Coturnix japonica: one gene and its partner. The protein of the gene in region 1 purifies or fractionates together with the protein of each later gene. This does not show direct contact. Links are inferred from orthologs where the notes say so. Each region holds a gene or a part of one and is shown on either strand. Other genes may lie near its edges. The genes, in order: TRAF7 and MAP3K3.

What was found.
Region 2: the proteins of TRAF7 (region 1) and MAP3K3 purify together in Homo sapiens (affinity purification with mass spectrometry; 5 studies listed by BioGRID and IntAct, with this or other methods). This does not show direct contact. The link is inferred for Coturnix japonica from reciprocal best matches to the Homo sapiens genes TRAF7 and MAP3K3.

What each region holds. Positions count from the first base shown.
Region 1 is NC_029529.1:6,371,487-6,375,300, forward strand, and holds part of TRAF7 (E3 ubiquitin-protein ligase TRAF7), read left to right. Parts: intron 1-2,791; 5' UTR 2,792-2,829; coding exon 2,830-2,910; intron 2,911-3,138; coding exon 3,139-3,196; intron 3,197-3,814. UniProt on the Homo sapiens protein: E3 ubiquitin and SUMO-protein ligase that plays a role in different biological processes such as innate immunity, inflammation or apoptosis. Potentiates MAP3K3-mediated activation of JUN/AP1 and DDIT3 transcriptional regulators.
Region 2 is NC_029542.1:2,207,271-2,211,084, forward strand, and holds part of MAP3K3 (mitogen-activated protein kinase kinase kinase 3), read left to right. Parts: intron 1-417; coding exon 418-549; intron 550-1,099; coding exon 1,100-1,229; intron 1,230-2,385; exon of another isoform or gene 2,386-2,861; coding exon 2,862-3,039; intron 3,040-3,751; exon of another isoform or gene 3,752-3,814. UniProt on the Homo sapiens protein: Component of a protein kinase signal transduction cascade. Mediates activation of the NF-kappa-B, AP1 and DDIT3 transcriptional regulators.

The DNA of each region.
Region 1 (3,814 bases):
TGGGTCCTTGCAGGGCTGTGCTGGCTGGACACACAAGGGCTTGCAGCAGTTCTTCATGCACAGGAGGGAATGGAGCTTGCCCTCTTGCTGTAGCTTCTGTTTTGTTGTCAGCCACGAGTGGGACCCTACATAGTCCTGGGATGGAACATCAGGATGCTGTGTCCCGTGTGAGCACTGCCAACCTGCTGCTCTGTGATGCTGCTGGAGATGCTCTGGATGTGGTTCTGCTCAGATCTGACAGTTCCAGGTGCTAAGCCGAGGTTTGGAAATCTGGAGGGGAAGCTGGTATTAACATCAAGAACACCATCTCTTCTCCACTTCCTTTTAAGTTCTTTGATATCAACTGGCAAAGGCCTTTTTCACTGCCTTGTGACAGAGTTCATCGGCAGGCTGCTCTGCAGACATCTGCTCTGTTGTAATCGCTCCTGTATTTGATGGTTGCAGGGATTTGGGCTGAGATTGGCTGTTTTTGTGGCAGTTGGTGTTATGAACGTTGGCACATATTCCACTTGATGTTTTTTCCATTGCTTGCATTCTCCTGGTTTCTATTCAGACGAGATGCAGGGCAGGTTACCTCCTGCTGCTCACAGGTAGTTTGCTCAGCCATGCTGCAGGGTTTGGGGTGTGAACAAGGAGTGGAAAATCCCTGTGTTCCAACCCGTGCTTCCTTCCTTGCTTTGGATTTATCCACCATCTATTGGATCTTGCATTCCTCTGAGTGGGCTTTGGAGCAGGGGAATGTGCATTTTACTGGAGAGGTGCCTCAGGTTGTCCCTGTTGCAGGCAGTTTAGAACTGTTGGAGCCGCACTGCAGCTGGGAGGCAGCTCCTCAATCTGCACGATGCAGCAGCACGGTCCTGCTTCGTTCCTGCTGTTCTTGGACATCAGCAACTCTGCTTAGCATTTCCTAAGGGATCTGGCATTTACAGGCAGCCAGGACGGAGCTTCGTAACGTTTGGAAAACATTATTCAGATCTGTGTTTTCAAGATAGTCCTGGGCTTGGTTTGGGGGTTTTTGTTTGTTACTTTGGGTTGGGTTTTGGTTTGTTTTTCTTCTTTTTTTTAGCCTGTAGCTTTTCCCAAGAGTTCAGCTCCAGGGGCAGTGATCCCTATGGATGCTGTCCATGCAGGACACAGTGTGCTGTGCCAGGCAGCAGAGCAGTTGGTCAGGGGCTGGGGATGTCTCAGCATCATGTTCACAGCATTTAAAATGTGAGCGTAGGACACATGCAAAGCTGGGGCTCTTGGGGCTGTGACTGAAGGAGCTCTGCATGAGTCCTGGGTCCCAGCTGCTCTGTGTGGTCGTGTCACACCTTGAGCCTCAGTTTCCCAATACTACAAAAGAGGTGATCACACACTGTTATGAAGTGCTTGGAGATTGAGGATGTGTCACTCTTGGATGAGAGAAGATCCTTTGCTAGGTGGAGCCAAGTTATCTTACCTCCCCATGAGCCTGCAGCAGGAGCAGCTGCATGGGGAGGAGCAGCCCCAACCCAACTGCAAGCAGATGGTCCTGCAAGGAATGGGACCAGGACCACTGCCCTGCCTGGCTGCAGCCCATGGTGCTTGTAGGGTGAGAGCCAAGCACAAGTGAAAAACAGATTTGGGTTGTGTTTTAGTCAACTGGTTCTAGCCAGTCACTTCTCACTACTGTTGTCTGTCTGGTCTGCCTGCTTAGCCCTTGGACTCTGTAGCTGGCAGGGAGAGCACCAAGATTTAACTGTACCTTGGATAAAAAGGGATCCTTAATCAGGATTTTTCTTGAGCAGCTTATTCCTGGAGCACTGGGTGGGCTGGGACAGGCTGTGAGTGCCAGCAGTGACTTCCAGCCACAAGGATGAAGGGGAAGCCAAGGAGGAGAGCTCCCTGCTGTGCCAAGGCCACAATGGGAACTTCTGTCCCGGGCAGCAGCATCTCCTTGGGATGGCAGTGTGGAGCTGCAGCTCCTTCCTGGGGGAGCAGCTTCAGTACCCCCTCTGTAAAGTTCTTTTAGTACCCTCAAGCCAGCATCAGGTTTCAGCAGAAGAAAGCAATCTCCATGTGCTTCCACAGGTTATTATTGTGCAATACTTTGACTTTGCAAACTTGAACCCGGTAAACAACTGAAGAAGAGCAGTGAGCCCCTCTACTGCCATTTGAGGGAGGGGATTTCTCTCTCTGGGTGATGATCTGTGGGCTGTTTCTGAGCAGAAATTGAATGAGATCCAGAATCACAGAAGTGTTAACTGAAGTAAGGTTTCTTTCTTATAGGGATAAGGGCTCTGCTGGTGCAGCTTTACATCCTTTTGCCCTCTGTGCATGCGCAGCTCCTTTGGCACTCTGTAGGTTCAGGCTTTGTCCAAGGCTTTGGCTCAGACCTTTCTGCCTGTTTGGGTTGTGGTGTGCTCTGAGCTGGGACTGTCAGACACAGCTGGCACATGTGTCTCTATGGGTCTCATTTGGAACCGAGTGATGGTGGGACAGTGGGATGCTGCCTTTCTTTGGCTGCTGAGGAGTCTCATCTGCAATTGGAATGGTTACACATTTGTAAAAGCTGCTAATGGTGATGAGTGTTCCAGTATGTGGGAGATTAAGGAATCATTTAAAATATGCTGGATTTTTGGAACATGCTGGATGCTTCTCCCAGGAGTGGTTTGAAGGGGCCTGACTTTGGCCTTGCCACTTACTTCTGAAAATCCCAACTTATGTGAGTTTAGGTAAATACTTGGACTTAATACTAGAGGAAAGCGTTCTTTGAGCCTGGAAGTTGTACAACAAACCTAACTCTCTTTCTGTCCTTTTTCTTCTACAGAGCAAACTTCCCATGACTAACAAGTGCTGGTCTAGATTATGACCTCAAACAAGAACGCTCGCTTCAATCGTTTCTCCAGTGGCACACCAAACATCACTGCTTCAGAAAACACTAACGGGGTAAGTATAGGTGCTATGAGCTGGGGCTGCTTCTCTTGTTCTCATCCTTTCTTTCCCACAGTGGTGGAAAATTTGATGCTTTTCACATCACAATCACAGTATCCACAAATGAAACTTAAGAATGCATACAGACTATATTCATATATAGTCACCAGTTCGGTAGAAGTAGCAAGAATTCAGGCTGTGCTGCACTGATACACACTGACATTCATTCTGTCTGTGTTTCAGACAAGAATGGAAACAACTTTTGGGCCGGCGTACTCTGCTGTGACGACTATCACAAAGGGTGAGTGCATTTCATTTGTGGGGCTTCTCCCCAGAGCACTGGGCATGAATCCCACCAGGCTTCTTCTCATTGTTGTTTCACAGAGCTCACAGAGCTGTTGGGGCAGTCATTGTGTTTTACTTGCAGACGTGTGACAGAGTACTGTTTTTAGTATTACACAGCCCAAGTGTCACTTATTCATGACATTTGCTCACCAGGTGTGGTGGAATGAGAATGAGCAGAAATTAGAGAACCACAAGGAAGATCTTACTGAAATTAGGATGGTACAACAGGATCTGATACAAAACTTAGTTTCAAATCTTATTTATCCATGTGATTTCTCATGCAACCATTACCAGGGCTGAGAATTCTGATCTTCACTCTTTGCCTGTGTGTCATTCTGGACGCTTTGGTAAATCCCCTGTGCTCGTTTTTAGCTCAGACAGGAGGGGGTGTGAATGTACCTGCTCATTTAAAATTCTTCTGCTTTGTTCTTCAAAGCTCAGCAGGTGAGGAGTCTGAGCTCCAGCATGCAGCGTGAATGTGGGAAGAGATCTGGTTTCACTTTGCAATAAAAATATCCTTACCTTAGTAAAGATAAGAAACTGGCACTTGACACTGGTTTAGATAAGGAAATTA
Region 2 (3,814 bases), on another chromosome or scaffold:
AATGGTCTACTTAGACCTTTTTCATAACTGAAATTAGAGCTCACTGCCATCTGCTTAGTGCTGAGGGTTGAGGTTATTTCTGTATTGTCCTTAAAGAACGCTTTCTGTCACCTTGCCTAAAGCCATTCAGTAAACAGCTGACAGATTCAAGACAACAAAGTGTTTTTCTGGTAGCACATTCAAATATGATACTGCCTCTGTTCTGTTTCAGCACCACTACTACCAGCTTATTGTACAGTAAAGGTTAACATGAAGCATTGGTATTGTTTGCCTTTCCCATAAGCTAGGTGAGCCAATGTCATGGAATAGACTGCATCGCTGTAGTAGTGGTCTCATCCCGCCAGTGAGGTGGATGGATTTTTTAGGATGAAATATTTCCTAGGGCTGGAACCTAATTTTCTTCTCCAACATCTGTAGGAAGTGAGTGCCCTGGAGTGTGAAATTCAGCTGCTGAAGAACCTCCAGCACGAACGTATTGTTCAGTATTATGGATGCCTGCGGGATCGAGCAGAAAAGACCTTGACCATCTTCATGGAGTACATGCCAGGGGTAAGAGCTGACACAAATGGAGATGAGTGGTTTTGTTTAAACTGGGTGATCCATTGTGTCTTGTAGTTGAAATACGTTCTCTTTGTTAATCACTAAAGCCAGTTCTATTCCTTGAGTGTAAATTTGTTTTGCCAAAGTACTTGAAAGAACTTGGGTCAACTCGTAAATTGGGCTGACTGAATTAGGAGAATCATGCACTGCAGCAAACTAGCATAAAACTGACCCTGCAAAAGGGAAACCTTCAACCTGAATCTGTGTGCTAAAGTAGTCTATTGCTCGTATCCACAGACATCTGTACCAACACAGCTAAAGGATACAGAAAGCACACAAAGTCCTCAATGTATTTTTGCTGTAATGTCCTTGCTTTTCTCAAAAGGGGCTTCACAGAGCAAGAAGTTCTGTGAGCCTCACAGAAAAGGCTTTAGAAGAGAATTCATTCATGTGCTGGCTGGGTATATAACATGGTCTCAGCTCTGGGAATTGAATGGAGACTGCAGGATTTGTGGTATGTCATTCCTTTACCAGTCTTTTCTGTTTGGTTTTGGCACAGGGGTCGGTGAAGGACCAGCTGAAAGCATATGGTGCTCTCACAGAAAATGTAACTCGGAAATACACTCGCCAGATTCTCGAGGGAGTCTCATACCTTCACAGCAACATGATTGTGCACAGGGACATAAAGGGTGAGATCAGCTGGTGATTTTTACCATGTACTAAAGGAACTCAGAAAAAGAAGCCGAATGTTAAGGATTCACTATCCTGGTTGGAGCTTCTGAACATTGCTTTGTTCAGTATCCATTTGTCTTGTATCCTGACCAGGCCTTAGGGAAAGGAGGTATTGTGGACTGGGTGAGGGAAGTTGGGTTGTTTCCTGTACAGAACCTGAGCGCGTGGCAGTTGGTGTTTATAGTTAAGGAAGAATGCAAGCCTCAAATTCATTCTTAGGACTGCTCAGCTGTAACTCCTCATCTTTCTCCGACTCCTCAGCAAAATGAGGTTAAGTTGCCTCCTAACTTTCACTGCCCTCATAACACATTTGTTTCCTTGTGGATTCCCTTCTAATTTCCTTTCTGACCTAAGTGCTGTTTCTCAGCTGGTAAACATACAATTGCTGCAAGAGCCCTGTGCCTTCTCTTGTCAGTCTTGCTTACCTCAGGCTCTTGTGACTTGTCCTTCCTGCTCTGTGTAAGAGACCTCTGTAACCTTCCATGTAGAGCTTGTGTGATTAGTCTTCCTCTTCCCAGTAAAACCCCATGGAGCCAGGCAGTCTCCTTAAGAGTTAATGTCAACAGATGTGGCAGGCACCACACAAGTTTTTTTTCTGTGCTCTGGAGGGACAGGAGCATTGCTTGCTGCAAGAAAAATATCTTCTTGTTCCTGCCTATAAATCTTCATCGCCTCCCCTCTAGGGCTGGCAAAGGGAAATGAGCTGCTGATTCATGAATAACACCTTGTATACTGCTCACATGGTATTCTATACCAAATGATTTCCTTCCAATGGATTATTCAATAACCTGCACCTATCTTCTAAAGCGAACAGTTCATTTGTCTCCAGGGTGCTGGATGGAAAGTGTTGTTATTCTGAATTCAGCTCTCTCAGTGGGATAGCAAAGTGGTAAAGCCATCTCAGAACACAAATTTTACCAGAGGGCAGAAGGAGTTCACATAGGCATATAGCAAATAATGGCAAAAAAGAGTTATTGATCCTGTTGTAGCTTTGAAGGAAGGTTTGTTGTGTGTGTATGTCTAAGCCTTTGCTTGTATCCACACATAAGGTATCCTCTTAGTTTGCTTTTATTTCCTCTGTGTTTCATGTTCAGGACCTCTGACCAAGTAAAGTGGGGATTGACTTGTTTATTGTAGGAGTTCAAAGTGGTTTAATTAGATACATCTGTTAACTATTGCTTTCTGGTCAGCTGGGTATATCCACCAAAGCAGTATCCAAATAAAATCCTTTTCTTCACAACTATGTACTATCTAAGCCATTGGCCTAGGGGCCCTGTATAGTTTGTCTGAACTGTTTACAGGCAGTGTAACAATGACAGTGCTGACTCAGCTTTCGTTTCCCCTCACCCTTCGCTTTCTTATGTTTTTCCCCTGAAGTTTTTTCCCATTTCTAGCCATTAACAGCTGGCTTGTCTACAGCCTGAAATAAAGAAATGATGTTTAGCACGTCACCTGGGGCTTAACAGGGAGAAAGCCATAGCATGAGCCTGGGTATTTCTGGGTTAGATATTAGCTCTGTAGGCTGCAAATCCAACAGCTGGATTGCATGAAAACAGCTGTCTCTATTCTTTTTCTTCTTTCTTGTCCAGGAGCCAATATTCTCCGTGACTCTGCTGGGAATGTGAAGCTTGGGGACTTTGGGGCCAGCAAACGGCTGCAGACAATCTGTATGTCTGGAACAGGCATCCGCTCTGTCACTGGCACACCATATTGGATGAGCCCAGAGGTGATCAGCGGAGAGGGCTATGGAAGAAAAGCAGACGTATGGTGAGGGTTTAACTTTCTGCCTATGGATCAGTTTACAACTTTTCTGGACATTTTGCATTCTGTTAACCATATATCCAAACTCAGATTTTGTCTGGATCAAAAATGAGAGCAGTTTAAGGTGAACTGAAGGTTTGAACTTAAGGCTAGGCCCATTGCAGGCTGTGCTTTGTCATGTCAACACACAGCTGCTCATTTAGTGTTTAGGTCAGGATTTCCATTAATTCCTCCCTCAAGCTGATAGCTAATTGTCTGACTTTCTGGCCTGAGGTTTCCACCATTCTTATGTCCCTTATGTTGATAAGGGACTGAAGATTGTTTGGGGAGAGTCCATTCATTTTGTTGCAAAATGAGAGTTATGCTTATAACACTGGAAATGAAAGGAACAGAATTTGAGTATGTTGACAAAACCTTGAAGGAACGATGCCTGAACCTGGAATAACACATAAGATACAGGCCAGATCAGAGGTGATCTAAAGTATGCGTGAGTGGAAACTATAGCCCTGCTATTACTGGCATAGCCAAGAAATATTCTCTATCGAAAGGAAAAAGCAAAATGGTCCTGTGTCAAAATGTTAGTTTTGGAGGCCTCAAGAAGGTAAGATTATAAAACCAAGCTAAACGACAGCAGCATAAAGTATGTTAGTGTCTCCACAGTAAAGGCCTATACTGTTTCCCATACAAGCAGTGAATGGAAGCATAGCAGAAAGTTAACCTGTATGCAAAGAGTTAAGTTCTTCAGAGTCTCCCAGTTGGGATTCTTTGGGAGAGAATGGAG